4 linked regions of the Saccharomyces cerevisiae S288C genome follow. The gene in region 2 interacts genetically with the main gene of each other region. Each region holds a gene or a part of one and is shown on either strand. Other genes may lie near its edges.

Evidence for each region.
Region 1: mutations in HTD2 (region 2) and ALD5 together harm fitness more than expected from each alone (negative genetic interaction), as found in Saccharomyces cerevisiae (3 studies listed by BioGRID).
Region 3: mutations in HTD2 (region 2) and LSC1 together harm fitness more than expected from each alone (negative genetic interaction), as found in Saccharomyces cerevisiae (4 studies listed by BioGRID).
Region 4: mutations in HTD2 (region 2) and CIT1 together harm fitness less than expected from each alone (positive genetic interaction), as found in Saccharomyces cerevisiae (4 studies listed by BioGRID).

Annotation. Positions count from the first base shown.
Region 1 is NC_001137.3:302,072-307,300, forward strand, and holds ALD5 (aldehyde dehydrogenase (NAD(P)(+)) ALD5), read left to right. Parts: upstream 1-1,958; coding exon 1,959-3,521; downstream 3,522-5,229. Other genes in the region: TDA2 (Tda2p), read right to left, coding at 1-256; VTC1 (Vtc1p), read left to right, coding at 735-1,124; 40S ribosomal protein eS24 RPS24A, read left to right, coding at 4,252-4,254, 4,721-5,125. UniProt on the Saccharomyces cerevisiae protein: Minor mitochondrial aldehyde dehydrogenase isoform. Plays a role in regulation or biosynthesis of electron transport chain components. Involved in the biosynthesis of acetate during anaerobic growth on glucose.
Region 2 is NC_001140.6:228,623-233,129, reverse strand, and holds HTD2 (hydroxyacyl-thioester dehydratase HTD2), read right to left. Parts: upstream 2,161-4,507; coding exon 1,318-2,160; downstream 1-1,317. Other genes in the region: DYS1 (deoxyhypusine synthase), read right to left, coding at 1-997; SSF1 (rRNA-binding ribosome biosynthesis protein), read right to left, coding at 2,434-3,795; RNA-dependent ATPase RRP3, read left to right, coding at 4,093-4,507. UniProt on the Saccharomyces cerevisiae protein: Mitochondrial 3-hydroxyacyl-thioester dehydratase involved in fatty acid biosynthesis. Required for respiratory growth and for normal mitochondrial morphology.
Region 3 is NC_001147.6:591,340-596,124, reverse strand, and holds LSC1 (succinate--CoA ligase (GDP-forming) subunit alpha), read right to left. Parts: upstream 3,069-4,785; coding exon 2,079-3,068; downstream 1-2,078. Other genes in the region: YOR142W-A (gag protein), read right to left, coding at 1-1,013; ARP8 (Arp8p), read left to right, coding at 3,538-4,785. UniProt on the Saccharomyces cerevisiae protein: Succinyl-CoA synthetase functions in the citric acid cycle (TCA), coupling the hydrolysis of succinyl-CoA to the synthesis of ATP and thus represents the only step of substrate-level phosphorylation in the TCA.
Region 4 is NC_001146.8:629,121-634,338, forward strand, and holds CIT1 (citrate (Si)-synthase CIT1), read right to left. Parts: upstream 1,942-5,218; coding exon 502-1,941; downstream 1-501. Other genes in the region: putative ammonium permease ATO2, read right to left, coding at 3,888-4,736. UniProt on the Saccharomyces cerevisiae protein: Specific citrate synthase with catalytic activity only with acetyl-CoA.

The sequences.
Region 1 (5,229 bases), on a different chromosome or scaffold from region 2:
AATTAGCGTTTTCTTCGTTGAGTCCTTCAATGTTCAACGTCGTTACCGAGGCAATATATTTATACAAAGAAGAGTGCTTTTCAAGTTTTTCTAGGACCAGTTTTATAAGAAGGTTGGAAGTTGATTCGGTCGATAAATTGATTTCATTGTCATCTTTTAAACTATCATAACTTTCTTGAATTAACGTAACTAGTTTTCTTTCGGGCAGAGGAGAGTTATCACTCCTTCCATCCTTTATTTCAATCTGCATACTCATTTTTTTGTTGACTTTCGTAATCACTTACTTTCACTTATCCTAAATAATTTACAGTGCGTTTTGTAAAACTGCAAGACGGTATCCGCTAATAGAGAGAAGAATACGTATTTTCTAGTAAAGAAATTTACAAAAAAGGAGGTATATTGGCATCGCTATTTTCGGATAGAATGGCAAGAGCGATTAAGTATAGCAAACTGGGAAATGTATAGAGACAAGAAATAATGAGACTCTCTCTTCAAGTATCTTTGAGCACGTATCAGATAACTAATGGTTATATCGCTTGTTACGGTCGGTGATACTTCACTTTGAAATAGATATTAGCACGTGTCTCGGAGAGAAGAAAATGAATGCTGCATTATACAAAATAGATAACAGTATTTAAGAGTCCATATTTCCATAACCAGCGACTTGCATACACGTAACATACGATTTACTACATTATCGAATACGATTAAACACTACGCCAGATTTCCACAATATGTCTTCAGCACCATTATTACAAAGAACACCTGGGAAAAAGATCGCTTTGCCCACACGAGTTGAGCCAAAAGTGTTCTTTGCCAATGAGCGTACCTTTTTGTCGTGGTTGAACTTTACAGTTATGCTGGGAGGCCTTGGTGTAGGTTTACTGAATTTTGGTGACAAGATAGGTAGGGTCAGTGCAGGACTATTTACTTTTGTTGCCATGGGTACAATGATATACGCGCTTGTAACATACCACTGGAGAGCTGCTGCGATTAGACGTAGAGGATCAGGTCCTTATGATGACAGATTGGGGCCCACTTTGTTGTGCTTTTTCTTATTGGTTGCTGTCATTATCAACTTTATATTAAGATTGAAGTACAATGACGCTAACACTAAGTTATGAAATTGTAATTCCAATATCGTAAGCGTGGGTTACGCACAAACTGTATTTTCAAGATGCTCACAAATAATTTAGTTTCATATATACGCATATATAGAAAGTATCCATCTATAGGTAATCATGAACAATAAAAATATTCACGTTTCAGGAGCTATTGTTTGTACTCATTACGTTTTTGGATATCAAGTTGAAAATCAGCCCCTTTCACTAGATATCAAGCGCTATAAAAAAATTTTAATTTCGATGAGGCATCTTTCTTTTCTCTTGTGGCTATGTAAGCCTAAGAAGCCGTTTACACATCAATGATAAATAAGTATACAAAAAGGGTTCCATTTTTTTTTTTGGCCGCTACCGGACTAGCAAGGGCCTAATGGTACGCTGAGCGTAGTACAACCAAGCGCTTGTTAGCCGTAGAGTTAAGCTCTTGACTACTATTACGGTAAAAGCCGGGAACGTGCGTAACAATTTTTTTTTGCATTAGGTTAAAGAGGCTCGCTCGCGGAGCCTTTAGAATACCGCTTAAGGCGCCAAAAGATGGAAGCTATTCTCTTTCTTTTTTTTTTCACAAACTGAGAGGGGTTGTGTATCGTTAAAAATGTTGGAAGACTTCTGACTCATCACTACGCAGATTGTTAGAGTTTTTCGATGAGAATGGCTTCAAAGAACAGAACAAAACACGATTATATAAGCCCCATGTAAAAAGAACGTCTTAATTTATTTTGAATTTAGGACTTCTTGACATTTTTAGCATATATAACAATACGATAAGTGTCTCATCAAACGTGGTTAAGACAGAAAACTTCTTCACAACATTAACAAAAAGCCAAAGAAGAAGAAATGCTTTCTCGCACAAGAGCTGCAGCTCCGAATTCCAGAATATTCACTAGAAGCTTGTTACGTCTTTATTCTCAAGCACCATTACGCGTTCCAATTACTCTTCCAAATGGTTTCACCTACGAACAGCCAACAGGGTTATTCATCAATGGTGAATTTGTTGCCTCGAAGCAAAAGAAAACGTTTGACGTGATCAATCCATCTAACGAAGAAAAGATAACAACTGTATACAAGGCTATGGAAGATGATGTTGATGAAGCCGTTGCAGCGGCTAAAAAAGCTTTTGAAACGAAGTGGTCTATTGTAGAGCCGGAGGTTCGCGCTAAAGCTTTATTCAATCTCGCTGACTTGGTTGAGAAACACCAAGAAACACTGGCTGCCATTGAGTCAATGGATAATGGTAAGTCATTGTTTTGTGCGCGCGGTGACGTCGCTTTAGTATCTAAATACTTGCGTTCTTGCGGTGGTTGGGCAGATAAAATCTACGGTAACGTTATTGACACAGGTAAAAACCATTTTACCTACTCAATTAAGGAACCATTAGGCGTTTGCGGCCAAATAATCCCTTGGAACTTCCCTTTATTGATGTGGTCATGGAAAATTGGGCCTGCTCTGGCTACAGGTAACACCGTCGTATTGAAACCCGCTGAAACAACACCTTTATCTGCCCTTTTCGCTTCCCAGTTGTGTCAGGAAGCAGGCATACCCGCTGGTGTAGTCAATATCCTTCCGGGTTCCGGTAGAGTTGTTGGAGAAAGATTGAGTGCACACCCAGACGTGAAGAAGATTGCTTTTACAGGCTCTACTGCCACCGGCCGCCATATTATGAAGGTCGCTGCCGATACTGTCAAGAAAGTCACTTTGGAGCTGGGAGGTAAATCACCAAATATTGTGTTTGCTGACGCTGATCTAGATAAAGCCGTCAAGAACATTGCCTTCGGTATTTTTTACAACTCTGGTGAAGTTTGCTGCGCTGGTTCCAGAATATACATTCAAGATACAGTATACGAGGAGGTGTTGCAAAAACTAAAGGATTACACCGAGTCACTAAAGGTCGGTGACCCATTTGATGAGGAAGTTTTCCAAGGTGCTCAAACATCTGACAAACAGCTGCATAAAATTTTAGACTATGTCGATGTAGCAAAATCAGAGGGGGCTCGTCTTGTGACTGGAGGGGCCAGACATGGCAGTAAAGGTTATTTTGTCAAGCCAACAGTGTTTGCTGATGTCAAAGAAGATATGAGAATTGTTAAGGAGGAAGTGTTTGGTCCCATTGTAACTGTATCCAAGTTTTCTACTGTTGATGAAGTGATTGCTATGGCAAATGATTCTCAATATGGGTTAGCCGCAGGTATTCACACTAACGATATTAACAAGGCTGTTGATGTGTCCAAAAGAGTGAAAGCTGGTACTGTTTGGATAAATACCTATAACAACTTCCACCAAAATGTTCCTTTCGGTGGCTTCGGCCAGTCAGGTATTGGCCGTGAAATGGGTGAGGCTGCTTTAAGTAACTACACTCAAACAAAATCTGTCAGAATTGCCATTGACAAGCCAATTCGTTGAAGTAACTCAGGCCCGAGTTGACTGCTCATTGAAGGTATGTATGATAAACATTATAGAATAATGAAAAATGCCTCGTGACATACAGATAAAATCTAACAAGGATATATTCAAAAAAAAAAAAACAAAACAAAAAAATAATAACGTGATAAACATTAATGAACAATGTATTTACATTCTTAAGCATAGGTGAGAAATTACCTTCTTTACTTTTTTTTTTTTTTTTGGTGATATTGTATATTGAAATATATAGTAATCAAATTCGTTTCATTGATCAAATTGCTCACTAGTTCTGTTTTTCAAAATTTCATCTTTATAGGTAGATACAAGTGCCAGAGAGATATATAAACAGAAAACTCTATCGATGTGATAATGTATGCCAATATCGGGACTGTACACCCACACATTTACAAGCCCACACATCCTACAACTTTCTTTTCATTTCTTGCGCTTCTTCCACTGTCATAAAATATGATTGTCCGATGCCGCAGCCTACGCCTCGGCGAGTATTCATCACCTAAGCGTCCTGTAGGCGGGGCCACGCAGTCACTAACGGAATACTCCAGAAGGCTGCTTCCTTTGGAAGGAAGTTTCACTCGGTTGTCCACCCAGCGCTTTAACTTTGTCTCAGCGAAGAAGAATTGAATAACTATAGTGAATTTCAAGAGCTAGAGGATGGTTAGGTATTAGTTCAAAACAAAGATTTCAAGAAACCAACATAGATTAAGCAGAAATGGTATGTTAAAAAGTGCTCAGATGAAAGATGACGTCCCATATTCCATGTTAAAGTTGCCATGAGTTAGTATAAAAGGCAATAAAGGTACCATAACGAGAAAAGAAAGTAAAAGAAGAAATGTTTTGCAAATTTAAGGTGGCGTAACAGCAACTATTGGCTAATATATTAATGGCAATCATTGTGAAAAGAAATGTGAAATCCGTATCGTAATTGGTTAAATTTATAACTCAAATTTAAACACTCGAATAGCTGACCCGTAATATTTTATCCCGCTTTAAGAGTTCAACGCTAAAAAATGATATCTAGCTAACCATTATGCTACAGGAACCTTTTTTGGACTATTATCCCTATCATGAAAACTGGAAGGATCTTTCAAGGACGCCATTTCCAAAGATTTCCCCCACACTGGAACCTATTTTACTAACAATTTTTAAAATGGTTTTTTACCTAAATTGTTTTTTCTCAGTCTGACGCTGTTACTATCCGTACTAGAAAGGTTATCTCCAACCCATTGTTGGCCAGAAAGCAATTCGTCGTCGACGTCTTGCACCCAAACAGAGCTAATGTCTCCAAGGATGAATTGCGTGAAAAATTAGCTGAAGTCTACAAGGCTGAAAAGGACGCTGTCTCCGTTTTCGGTTTCAGAACCCAATTTGGTGGTGGTAAGTCTGTTGGTTTCGGTTTGGTCTACAACTCTGTTGCCGAAGCTAAGAAGTTCGAACCAACTTACAGATTAGTCAGATACGGTTTGGCTGAAAAGGTTGAAAAGGCTTCCAGACAACAAAGAAAGCAAAAGAAGAACAGAGACAAGAAGATCTTCGGTACTGGTAAGAGATTGGCTAAGAAGGTTGCTCGTCGTAACGCCGATTAAGCAAACTAACTTCAAAACGTTAAATCATTTTTACGGATTGTTTAGTTTTCTATATATAAATATGTGTATCTTTTTCCAATAAAAAATATAATCAATAATTTTAA
Region 2 (4,507 bases):
ATTCTTGACCAGTGTTAATGTAAACGGCATAATCAGCACCATTTCTCATCAAACAAGCATTGGCAATGTGGTGCTTGATCAAACCACCACCCAAGATGATCATACCGGCTCTGTAAGCGGCCATGGACATTGAATTGATTTTGCGGATATCTCCTACAATGTCAACTCTTAGTTGTTTTGGAGATGCTTTAAAAGTATGGAAAAACAACATGTCACCGATTGAACCATCAGTCAAAGATGGACAAAAGATTGGAATTTTATTCTTGTGGGCCCAGTACAATACGGAGGATTCGTCGTTGATTTCCTTACCAAAACGATCTATCATCTTAGATGGGGTCCAGATTGGTGAATCCACGTCTTGGTTAGCCTCTAAACAGTCAGCGCCATGTTTCTTTACGTATTCATCTTGTTCTTCCAACATCTTATCCAAAATTGGGACAATCCATTCTTCAAACTTACAGTAGTTATCATTTGGAACAAGCAAGTTACCAATACGATTCATACCTTGGTCACGCAAAGATTTACCTTTCAAAGCAAATTCACCCAAGTAAGTTGGAGCAAGACATTTGATCAAATCTTCTTCCACACCACCAGCAGAAGTAACGACAGCATCAACCATTTTGTGTTGCACCAAATAACGTAAAGTTTCACGTACACCGGAACTGATCAAGTTAGAAGTATAACCCATGAAGATAGTAGTCTTTTGGTACCCTTCCTCATCGAAGCAACCTTTCTTTTCATGGTCATCCAATTCGTCAATATGCTTACCTCTCCATGATCTCATACTATCAATAATCTCACAGGCAGTACCAACAGAACTAGCTTGGAAACCCATGGTCTTCATAGCTTCAATTAAATCAGTTGCTCTCATATTAGTGGCTTCAGGCTTTGAGTAATCAATACCTTGAACCTTAACGAAGTCATCTGGAATAGGAACAGATGCTTTCAAGACAGCGTCTTGTAGTAACTCTGGGAGTTTTTCGTTGATATCGGACATCTTTTTTGCTTTGACTTGTATATAAGTTAACTAAGCAAAACACGACTTTACTCTGCAGTTAGATACAAAACTGATAGAGGGAAGTACTTTGCGTCAAAATGGAAATATACATTACATTTAATTTTTCACTTTACTTTTTATTTTTTTTTCCCACCTTTTTTTCAGTTCTTCCCGTAATGCGTTTACCGTCAACCTGGTGATGGCGAGATATTATGGTAATCTCGTTCGTGACCTTCCACTGTTCAGCAGCTACTAGTATTATTTCAAGAGACAAGAAACACACAGGTAGTGATTATCTGCAGAGAGACAATTACTGGTAGTCAACAGAAAACATCAGCTTTCATGTAGACTAAGTTGGCTTTCTGGAGGTCCCTAATTTGAAATGTGTACATTCCGCTCGAAGAGCTTAAAGACTGACATATGCTCAAAGTAGTGTTTGGATATATATAATTCAAATTGCGGTATCGCAACTGTCTGATTGGTTGTTCGAGAAAAGGTTGGATGCATTTCTGTAGTAATTGGACCGAGAAGGGTCCTTGCATGATAATATCGTCGTAGCCTTCAACATAGCGACTGTACTCTTTGTCCCAATGAATTCGGTGCGGATTCAAAGACATCTGACCATAAGCTACAATATCCATATCAGTAACAGTAAAATTTTTTAAGATCTTATAGTTCTCCTCTCCTACGGGCATCTTGACTGCAGTCTTGTTTGCGGGTGAATTGGTGTACATTAATACCCTTCTCTCGAATAAGCAAATGTCCATTGGACTCGACACATTTTCGGGCCTTTCTTGTAAAAGGGTTCTTTCAATACAGACAACATGTTCATCTCGTATTTTTTTTACGTATTTGATTGATTCGTGGCATGTATACTCCTGGTCTAAGGTGACTGGTAAATACTGAACAAGCTCTCCTTGTCCCCAAATCCTTCTACGGTAGCGTAAATCAGGGTTTCCTAGCAAACTTGCAGGATTTTGATAGTTAAAATAACCATCTCTATCCAATTTTTCGAATGATGGTGGGAAGAACAGGAAATGTTCTCCCAGTTGAAGATGCTTCGTTGCCTTTGATACAGGGAGTCTCCTACAAAGTAAACTATCAAACGCTTTGGTTCGGTGACTAGATAAGACATCCCTGAAAATCCACGTTTTGGATTTCATGCTGATAAGCTGTCTTTAGATAAGTGGACGATTGCCCACCTTCAATGTACCAGCCACGCTCATGTATCGAAACAGTAGCTTAAAATGGCGTAAAAAAGGTAAGATCGAATTTTTTTTCACATGCCTTCTGAGATCTACGTTTCCTTTGGGCTATGATTTAAAAGACAAAGAGTTTATATGTATCAAGTATGCAATTTATCTAAAGTGAAGAAGTATACGTGCGTTGGTGGATAGCCAGGCTTAACTAAAATTTTCTTGGTACCGGAGAACAATTTATTCGACCTCACTAAATAAGTCACTATCTAGATCCTCTGGTACGCTACCATAATGTTCGCTGTCACTTGATGAAGACTCATCATCGCTCATCGCATCATCTTTTCCTTGACCTTCACCTCCTTCTGCTGCTCTAGCTTTTCTTCTTTCCAATTTACGTTGCTTTTTAGCGTCTTTAACAGCCTTCTTTTTAGCAATGTTTTCTTCTTGTTCCTTCTTTCTTTGTTCCTTCAGCCTCATTTTTGCAGCGTGTCTCTTTTCTAAAGCTTTGATTTCTTCGCTTGATTTTTGAACAAATTCATGATGTAACACTTTACCTGAACAAATACCTTCTTCTATCTTGACCAGTTTTAAAGTTAATCTTGGTCCTAATTCAGTTAGTTTGATAGCTTTCTTACGTGGGGTTGGTTGCAAGTTTTCTGAAGGCTTAGGTTCCTCCATTTCCACATCTTCTTCTTCTGTTTCTTTTTCACGCTCTTTATTATCCTTCTTTTCGACCGGTGTTCTTTGGGACTTCAAACTTTGAGAATGCTTTGCCTTCACGTCCTGATTATCAACTACTCTCACGATAGCGTCATCTTCAATTTCAGATTCTGATGTATAGGCGCCTAAGTCGTGATCTAATATCAAAGAAGAAATATCTTCTTTTCGATGCAAATTCGGCACTGTTTTACTTAGATTATTTTTGGCTTTATAAAGCCTTTTTAGGTTTCTAGAGATCTCTACTTCTCGAATGTCAATAAAATAGTGGCGCATAGAAATTTCCCCTGTTTCCCTGTCTTTATTGATCATAAATACACGTTTGATAGAATTCAAAGAAGTTCTCGCAGGATTCAGAGGTGGGAAAATATTCTGAAACATAGAAACAATGACCTTCTCCACGTTTACATCCTGGTCGTCTTCACCAGATCTTTTGGATGTGGAAAACCCGTTTAGCACTAGCAATGGAGGATTTAATACATCATCATTATTCAACGATTTAGGTCTCTTCAAAAATTTTTTGATATCTCTACCCAGAGAATAGTCCAATACTTGAAAAGTAACAGTAGGACCTTGCGGAGTTCTAGCTATCTTTAGGGAGACATTTCCTGTTTTTTCAGATTGAGTGAACATAAAAAGATGCGTAACACCTAATGGGCCACACATAACAACGAAATCCTTCAGTTTATTGGACTTGCGCTCTTTCAATTTTATAGCCGTATGTGGTTGCATGATTTGGCGGAAGTCCTTTACTAATTGGTTCAGAGAATGGTTGGCCAAAGAAGTTTGACCCACTCTGATTACCATTGACTTAGGTATACCTTGTTCCTGCTCAGGTGTAAGCTGTGCATGTGTTCTTTTCTTTTGTCTTCTCTTGGCCATCTTGAAATTTTATTGTCTGCTATATCTGGATTATACTCTTTTATTATTAAACATACTACTCACTCAAACCCAGATATCGAACTAATATCGCGATGAGATGAGCTTCTTCGTCTACTTTTTTTTTTTTTTTTTTTTCAGTGAAAAATTTCAATTTCGTCTAAGGCGATAAAAATGAAAAATTTAAAATTAATCAATGAGCATTTAGCAATTGTACATGGTATACACAGAATTGTGACATATCTTAGAAGCAATATATACCAAGATTCTGTTAAGTACTTCACTGAATCAGCTATAAAAATGTCCAAAATTGTTAAGAGAAAGGAAAAGAAGGCTAACGATGAATTAACTTCTTTAGCAGAAAAGATTAGAGCAAAAGCTTTGGAAAATCAAAAGAAGCTTATAGAAGCAGAAAAGGAAGGTGGTTCAGAGTCCGATTCTGAAGAAGATGCTACTGCTGAAAAGAAAAAGGTTTTGAAATCAAAAAGCAAATCCACAGTATCAACCCAAAATGAAAATACTAATGAAGATGAATCTTTTGAATCCTTTAGCGAACTGAATCTGGTCCCCGAATTAATTCAAGCTTGTAAGAACTTAAATTATTCCAAACCCACTCCCATTCAATCTAAGGCAATTCCTCCCGCGTTAGAAGGTCACGATATAATTGGACTTGCGCAAACAGGTTCTGGTAAAACTGCTGCATTTGCTATTCCCA
Region 3 (4,785 bases), on a different chromosome or scaffold from region 2:
TCAGCGACTGTCATATTTAGATGTCGATGACGTGTGTAGCGTAAAAATTTATATTCGCCAGATAGACCTCTCATAATTAATTGACATGCGACCTTGTTATTGATATGAATGCCATTATTGTTCAGTCTGTCGATAATGTTTGTGACTTTTGTTTCAAATGCATCTGCAGGTGTACTGCCATTATATTGCAAATTTGCCAGGGTCACAATGTCGTTTGCCTCTTGGGTATCAGATTGCATTTTTTCAATACTTTTGGAAAGAATTTTCATGATATCCGTATAATCAACGGATAGGATGTCTTTGACCCAGGTAGGTAGGAATTGAGAGGGAGCAAATATTTGAAAAGTGTTATACAAGAAGGTGAGTTCATCATCAGTGATCGGACGTACGGGTTTTCCGTTTACTGTCGGAATAATACCACCGAGATTCGAGTTTTGTAAAAATTTGATGTATGTTTTAACCCAATTTGGAAAGTCATTAGGTGAGGTTAACATTGGTGGTGGTCTGACATATTTTTTAGTGGATGTCATATCAGAGTCCGCTGAGGATGAATCAGTAAATGTATTACCTGACTCAGGTGATGGAGTGCTCAGAGGCGTTCCAACTGATGATGGATACTGCGGAAACTGTGATTGTGGCCCAGGTGGAAAGTACATAGGCGACATTTGATAAGGTGTATACGGAATCATAGATGGGTGTCCGTAAAATGACCAACCAGATGGATTGGCTTGGTTTTGGGTCATCATGCACTGCTGTGGGTACGGCCCATTCTGTGGAGGTGGTACTGAAGCAGGTTGAGGAGAGGCATGATGGGGGTTCTCTGGAACAGCTGATGAAGCAGGTGTTGTTGTCTGTTGAGAGTTAGCCTTAGTGGAAGCCTTATCATATTCTTGAATTTTGGAAGCTGAAACGTCTAACGGATCTTGATTTGTGTGGACTTCCTTAGAAGTAACCGAAGCACAGGCGCTACCATGAGATATATGTGGGTAATTAGATAATTGTTGGGATTCCATTGTTGATAAAGGCTATAATATTAGGTATACAGAATATACTAGAAGTTCTCCTCGAGGATATAGGAATCCTCAAAATGGAATCTATATTTCTACATACTAATATTACGATTATTCCTCATTCCGTTTTATATGTTTCATTATCCTATTACATTATCAATCCTTGCACTTCAGCTTCCTCTAACTTCGATGACAGCTTCTCATAACTTATGTCATCATCTTAACACCGTATATGATAATATATTGATAATATAACTATTAGTTGATAGACGATAGTGGATTTTTATTCCAACAAATAGTTTGATAATTTTTGGCATTCCTTTTTTTGGCAAAGGTTATATATAATATTATGTGTAGTTCTCCTCGAGGATATAGGAGTCCTCAAAAAGGAATCTATATTTCTACATAATAATACTATGATTATTTCTCCTTCTGTTCTATATGTTTTATTATCCTATTACGTTATCAATCCTTGCATTTCAGCTTCGTCTAACTTCGATGACAGTTTCTCATATCTTATGTCATCGTCTAACACCGTGTATGATAATATATTGGTAGTGTGACTACTAGTTGTTAGACGATAGTTGATTTTAATTCCAACACTTACCTATTTATCAGTGTCATTACTAAGAAGGAAATTTTTCATTAATAGTATATAACGTGCTGAGTCTTCCCAAATTGATTGAAACGCGCAAGTGGTTCAGTGGTTAGAATTTATGCTTCCCAAGCATGAGGCCCGGGTTCGATTCCCGGCTTGCGCATCTGTTTTTGCAAAACAGACTAGGAAATTCAGACGTTTTGTTATTTTTTTTTCCATTTCAATTATTAAGCTTTAATCAACCTTTATGTATACCCTTGTTAAGAAGAACATTAAATACAAACACTATTAAAAGATTTTTAGTAGAATTTATAAGGATAAATGAATATATACAAAGGGAAAAATTAACATAGAATGTTGAGTAAAAGCTCTGAAAAGAAAACGGATGTCAGCTCCATACTTGTCTAAGCAATAATCGAGACATAGAAGTCTTCCTCTTTTGAAAGCAGTTCATTCTCTTCCTAATATAATCATTTAAATTTGGCAAATTGATCCAGTAAAGCTTGACCTAAGTAACCTGGAGATTCAACGACGGCAACACCAACATCTCTCAAAGCTTGTTTTTTGGATTCTGCATCAGTTCCAGATCCTTCTACAATTGCACCGGAGTGACCCATTCTAACACCTTTCATTTGACCAGCAACAGTTCCTGCGATGAAAGATGCCACCGGCATCGGCTTACTCCTGCTAAAGTTGTATTCTTTGAGAAATTGAGCAGCTTCGATTTCGGCCTTACCACCTATTTCACCTAACATAATAATACCTTCTGTAGTTTCATCTTCTAGAAATAATTTCAAGGCGTCAATAAAATCAGTACCGGGAAAAGCATCACCACCCATACCAATAACCAGTGATTGACCAAGGTCAGTTTTTGTAGTTTGCTGAACAGCTTCGTATGTCAAAGTTCCCGATCTGGAAATAATACCGATTTTACCAGCTTGAAAAATTTTTGGGGGCTGGATACCAATTCTTACCTTTGTTGCTGGGTTAATGATACCAGGGCAGTTGGGCCCAACTAATCTTGTTTTATCTTGTGTCTGCAACATTTCTGCAATGTATAACATGTCATGTTGAGGAATACCTTCAGTGATACATACAGCTAACGGAATTTCAGCTTCAATAGATTCTTTAATGGCAGCAGCTGCGATCGGTGGAGGAACAAAGATGGCACTGGCAGTGGCTCCAGTCTCCTTAATCGCGTCCTTCACAGAGGCAAAGACAGGTTGGCCTAAATGTGTTTGACCCGCCTTTTTTGGGTTCGTACCACCCACAACATTTGTACCATATTCTTGAGAGATGCTGGCATGAAAAGTACCTTGTTTACCTGTGAACCCCTGAAAGATCACCTTGGTGTCCTTGGGAAGCAGCAAATTTTTGATCGTCTTATCGTAAGGAATAGATTCTCTGTGAAAGTGACGACAAATTTTGAGAGAAGCTTTTGAAACGGTAGATCTTAACATTATCAAACTGAAGAATAAATGGTCTGCAAAAGAAATTTTCTATGAAATCGAACGTATATAGAGTGGTAAGTAACAAACAGAACAACAATTAGGGGAAACTTGTCTCCTTCCAGCTTTTATATCGCTTGATTAAATCCAACTGTGGTAAGCCTATATATACGCAGTGTGCTGTGAACAACTCTCGAACAAGGATACTTAATTGACAATTGCAAAGCACTTAAGGGCTCTATTACCATCTGGATATCAGTCTCGAGAAACGCCTTTTTTGTTTCTGTTTTTATAGCAGCAACTTTGGGTCCGAGGTTGGGGTAGATCCGTTATCCAGCCGCTGGTTGGGCCGTGCAAGATGACTTATTTGAGAATGGCAATATGAATAAATGGAGATGATGAACGCCCACGAAGTAGCAAACACTTTCAGGTAAATTACTAGTCAATAGTACATAAATACAGGGATACAATCGCACCTAACATGTCGCAAGAAGAAGCAGAATCCAGTATTATTTATGAGGAACCCATTGATATTCCGTTAGAGGATGATGACGATGAGGATGAACTGGAAGAAGAAAATAGCGTACCTTTAAGCAGCCAGGCGGATCAAGAAAATGCGGAGAATGAGTCAGACGATAGTGTCGATAACGTAGTTGGATCTGAGACACCCAGAAGTGTAACAGGTCTTTCTGTTGACCCAAGAGACGTTGCAGACGAAGAAGATGAAGATGAAGAAGGGGAAGACGAAGATGAAGACGAAGACGACAATGATGTTGACAATGAGGACGAAAATGATAATGATAATGCCAACGAAAATGAAAATGAATTAGGGAGCTCTAGAGATAAGAGGGCACCACCTGCTGTGCAGACTAGTAAACGTTATAAGAAATATCCGAAGCTAGATCCCGCAAAAGCACCTCCCGGGAAGAAAGTCCCGCTACATCTTTTGGAGAAGAGGAGACTAGGACGTATTAAAGCTGCTGAAGAATTTGCCAAGACGTTGAAAAAAATTGGCATTGAGAAAGTGGAGACAACTACTTTACCTGCCACTGGCCTGTTCCAACCTTTAATGTTAATCAACCAAAAAAACTACTCATCAGATTATCTGAAAAAAGACGATCAAATATTTGCACTTAGAGATAGAAAATTTTTGAGAAATAACAACACTAGCCAAATATCTAGTACCAACACACCAGATGTTATAGATTTAAAGAGTTTGCCCCACTCAGAAGCGAGTGCAGCACCACTTAATGACGAGATAGATCTAAATGATCCAACAGCAACTATCGTGATACATCCTGGATCAAATTCTATAAAGATAGGATTTCCCAAAGATGACCATCCTGTCGTAGTTCCAAATTGTGTAGCGGTACCTAAAAAATGGCTGGATCTTGAAAATAGTGAACATGTTGAAAACGTTTGCCTTCAAAGAGAACAGTCAGAAGAGTTTAACAACATAAAGTCGGAGATGGAAAAGAATTTTAGAGAACGTATGAGGTATTATAAAAGAAAGGTACCAGGTAATGCTCACGAACAGGTAGTATCTTTCAATGAAAATTCCAAACCTGAGATTATTTCAGAGAAAAATGATCCATCTCCTATAGAATGGATATTTGATGACTCAAAATTATACTATGGTTCAGATGCATTGAGGTGCGTGGACGAAAAATTTGTTATTAGAAAGCCTTTCAGAGGTGGCTCTTTTAATGTCAAGTCACCATATTATAAA
Region 4 (5,218 bases), on a different chromosome or scaffold from region 2:
AGTGACATTTATCTTGAGGTAAGAACAGAAGAAAAAAAGGAAAAAGAGAAAATTTTATGAGATTGCTTTTTTCACATGACCATATTATATTCGCTTTATCAACTTTTTAGTGTATCTTCTACTCTAGGACAGATAAAGATGCATTAACCTTGTCATTTTGCTTCTTCTGCAGGTTCATATACATATAAACGTTAGTTACACCTTGACGTAGTATATCGACTACAGGCTAGATTTTACTGCTAAATCAGCGCGCCAGCCCACCACAATTCGATTTGAAAGCGCTTTGCAGGAATTTAAGAGCATTTTGTTTTCTATTCATTGATATCATTTGCCAAGTATATAACATAACCGGTAGGCATAGGGGACTCAAAGCGTAAAAATCATGAAGTCATAGCCATTTCCTTATGTAATATATATTTATATAAATTATAAACTACTCATTCGTATATGAAAATACGTGTTTGAATAGTCGCATACCCTGAATCAAAAATCAAATTTTCCTTAGTTCTTACTTTCGATTTTCTTTACCAACTCCTTGTATTTTTCGGTGGAGAATGATTTTGGCCTTTCGATTGGAGCACCAACAGCCCTATCGATGATTAATTGGGGTAACACACCAATAGCTCTGGCAACACCAAACAATACAGTGTAGAACGAAGCCTCAGTTAGACCATAGTATTGCAATAAAACACCGGAATGTGAATCAACATTTGGCCATGGGTTCTTAGTTTTACCATGCTTAGTTAAAACCCCTGGGGCAACTTCATAAATGGTGGAGACCAACTTAAATAACTCGTAATCTGGGAAATGTTTCAATGCGAATTCACGTTGAGCCGTATAACGAGGATCAGTTTTTCTCAAAACCGCATGGCCATAACCAGGAACAACTCTCCCTGCGTTCAAAGTATCCCACAAGTACTTTTCAATTGTTTCTTTTGAATAGTCACCTTTCACTTCTTCTCTCAATTTAAATAGCCATTCTAAAACTTCTTGATTGGCACGACCATGTAATGGGCCAGCTAAACCATTCAAACCAGCGGCCAAAGATAAGTATGGCGAAGATAAGGCAGAACCCACTAAATGTGTAGTATGGGCAGAAACGTTACCACCTTCATGATCAGAATGAATAGTTAAATATAGTCTCATTAAGTCAATAAAATCCTTGTTTTCGTAGCCCAAAAGTTGGGCCAAATTTTTACCATAGTCAGCATTAGGATCGGTTGAAGTAATTTTACCATCCTTGAACACATTACGATAAATTTTGGAAGCAATAACAGGTAATTTACCCAGCAGATCTAACGAATCTTCAAATGTATAGCTCCAATATTCTTTCTTGGATACACCTTGAGCATATGCTTTGGCAAACTTAGACTCGCTTTCTAAAGCAGTCACGGCAATAGAAAATTGCGCCATTGGATGTAGATCTTTTGGGAGGCTATCTAAAAGTTGGATAACGTGCTCTGGAATTTCTGATCTGGCAGCTAAATCAGCAGAAAGGGCTTTAACTTGAGCGTCAGTAGGTATTTCACCAGTCAAAAGCAACCAAAATAAAGCTTCTGGCAAAGGTTCTGTACTACCCTCAGCCTTTGGTAGTTCCCTTTGAATTTCTGGAATAGTACGACCCCTAAATCTAATACCTTCTTCGGGGTCTAACACGGAACCTTCCCAAACAAGGCCTTTAATACCTCTCATACCACCATAAGCTTGCTCCAAAAGAACTTCACCAATAACGGTTTTACCGTGTTCTTTCTTGAATTTTTTAATTTCTTCTGCCTTTGCTGGGATAATTTCAGCAAATCTCTCCTTCAACGTTTGTTCGGAGGCGCTACTATAGTGGCGAGCATTCAATAGTGCAAAAAGAGCCTTTTGCATATTTTGACATTGTCTTGTGGAGCCCCTTGATAAGAAACTTTTGCTAGTTGTTGATAATATCGCTGACATCTTCGTAAATAGTATTATATTGCTATATGTTTTGCCTTATTTTCTTTTTAATGGTTGTAATTGTAATTACTTAAATGCAAATAAAAGCCAAAACAAACCTGGTTTGTATTTTAGTAAACAGCAAATTTCCCCCTTAAGACTAGCAATCCATAACAGGGGAAGGGTAAAGAATAGTTGCTGCAAGTTTTGAGCATTTATATAATGGATGGATATCAATTGACATTTTCAAACAACAAGAGGTCGGATAAGTCGATAGTATCGGAAAAGCTCCAAAGGGATTGCGATCCTCCAATAACACAAAAGTATTTTTGGTCTAGCGGGGGTCATACTTTTCATTTCCGGGCGGCTGCGGCGGAAAAAAACGTGACGCCTTTTAGCACAAAAATGCAAGGTAAATACATAAAAAAAAAGGCAATGTGAACGTAAAAACGCTCATATTTACAAAGATTAATTGAGCCGTTCAATGAAATGCGAACTTCGGAGATTTCTTTAATTAGTTTAGGTATACTTTCCTGCGAAGGTCTTGTTGGAATATGTAGTAATCTCTACCCGCGTTTTTAGTTAATGCTGAATGGTTTTTGATGGCTCCTTTTTTCTTAGAGTGACAGGCGCGGCAGCCCCTTAACGCGGGTACCTGAACAAGTAAATCCGAAAATTCAATTTGACAAGGGAATCATTGGGCTGACAACAATAAGATGAGCTCTCTTATATTTTTGCCCAGGGAAAAATTTTTTGCCCACTAAAGATATGCAATATTAAAAAATTTGATAAAAATAAATCAATGGGGGCGAGCCGGGACTCGAACCCGGGACCTCCCGCACCCTAAGCGAGAATCATACCTCTAGACCACACGCCCGGTAGAAGTTGTTTTAATGAATTTCAAAATATGGTACCTCAACATCAATAGATCATCAACCACAACGTAAAACATGCATGTGAGGCTTAGGTGATTTTTGAGATAATTGTTGGGATTCCATTGTTGAAAAAGGCTATAATATTAGGTATACAGAATATACTAGAAGTTCTCCTCGAGGATCTAGGAATCCTCATATTCCTCTGTTGATAATTAGAGGTTAAAAATTAGTATTAATGAAGAAATAAGTACTGATCTTCTTATACTAAATAAGAGATGTATATAAAACACACGCTGATTGGTCATATTAATCATGACCAATATAATAGTGATTCCGGTAGTTACTAAACATTGATGTGACGACTCATATTCCTCATATATGTACCTACCATAACATGTTCAACTAATAGGTCTTTAACACAGCTTCAGTATTGTCTGAGCTTCTCGTTTAACATTCCTTCTGCAATAGGCGCAATCACACTTAAACGTATACGAGGTGTACATTAATATACGATGTAAGCATTAGATTGTTACCATAGCAACTCATGTCACTATTAATTACTCTCGTTCCAACAAAACAATTCTTAAAAATTCACCAATTTAGCTTCATGGCAAGGCTTACAGATGATTAAAATCGTGTAGATCATGGAAATCGAACCTTTCACGTTCTGCAGAATTTAAAGTGACTCCATGGCCAAGTTGGTTAAGGCGTGCGACTGTTAATCGCAAGATCGTGAGTTCAACCCTCACTGGGGTCGTTTTTTTTCTTATTTCAGATAGTCTTGTCGGTAGCAAACAGTCAAATCGCTATCACTTACATGTGATATCATTTCTGTACTGCTTATGCACTATGAAGTGCGGTTTCTTTTTTATGCGATATTACATGTGTCAATAGCAAAAGGGGTAAACCGTGCTCCTATACAACAAGAACAATAGTTCGGAAATGCATGAGAACAGTGTTGTTTTATAAAGGATTCTATGTGAAATAAAACAAAGGCCGATTTGTTCGACATTTGCTGGGCTTTTCATAAATAATGGATCATAAGAATATATAATAGGGGTAAAAGTTATTTTAGCCTGCACTTTTGTGTTTTTAGAAGAACACCTTATCATTGCTAGGTAATGCGAATGGATGGACCATAATGTACGAGTTTTGTCTTGTGGCAATACCTGCGTAAGCGTTGTACCAGGCAATGAAGGCTACTATCACACCAAGGACCCCACCAGCTCTAGTGACGCCAACTTCGCCTGTGAAGTTTGCAATGGATAGAAGTAAGAAGGTCACTGCTAAGAGGAAGAATAAGGCAAAAAACATTATAGTTGATTTCATGGTGCAGACGGAAAGACCGAAGGTGAAGAGTGCCCATCCTAGGAGGTAAAACCCTAGCGCATTTCCAAGGTCGGATTCCTTGTCCTTATAGGCATCTAGAATTCCAAACCAAGGGATGTATATAGCACCGAAGCTTAACCAAAAACCGCCGAAGGAACACAGGGCTGTACCACCGAAAGTGTTCTCTAAAGCGATTTCCCAAATACCAGCAATGAGTTGAACGAGGCCACCGTAAAACATGGCACACCCAACAACAACATTAGGGATAGTGATGCCTTGGGCTCTTGCATTGAACATGGATAGGACAAACGTAGTGAGGGCAAAACCGGAAAGTCCTAGTGGAGCAGGATTTGCGAATTTATGGACTGGCGCGGGGGCTAAACCGGGATTCAGAGTACCACCGAATGCCTCGAACAAATCATCCCTTAAAAATTTTTGACGGCCGATGTAAATATACTCGTTGTTTTTGCCCGCAGTATATATTTTGCATATGGACTCTTGCGAGTGGCGGCTCTGATCGTTGTTTTCAGAGATGAACTCACCCTCGGAAGAATCGAGTGCCTTAGGGTTCTCAAAAGCGGTGTTGCCGCTGCTTTGTTCTCTGTCAGACATGCCTTTTATTTTTTTCTGTGATTGAAGATTGTTTTTGATTGATCTGTAGAATGTTACATAGTTAGTTATGGCTATTCTAGCTCTAGGTAGGACAGTTCTCCTGCTTTATATATTTTGCTTGTTCAAAGATGATCACGGCTGTTCTCGGAGTGCGTAACTGCTTGAGAGTTAAATCCGTCGAAGTTGCTGATCATTTCCAGAAATGAGGAGACTGTTGATGATCTACTGTGAAATTATTGCGGGGCTGGTAGCATCTACTGTCACTATTATTGCCATGTCGGCTGGTATCGGAGTTCTCCCTCCGCCGATTTAGGATGGAGCCGTTCCAGCCGCGTCCGCTCTTAAGCGTCCGTAATTGGTCAACAAAGCATTTCAGCCGTGGTGATTGGAAGGAAGGTCAGCTTTCCTGTATTGCGTCTCTATCTACTTACAATACGAATGATACATTGAATTACGTACTAGTGTGAGATAGGGGTAGTCAA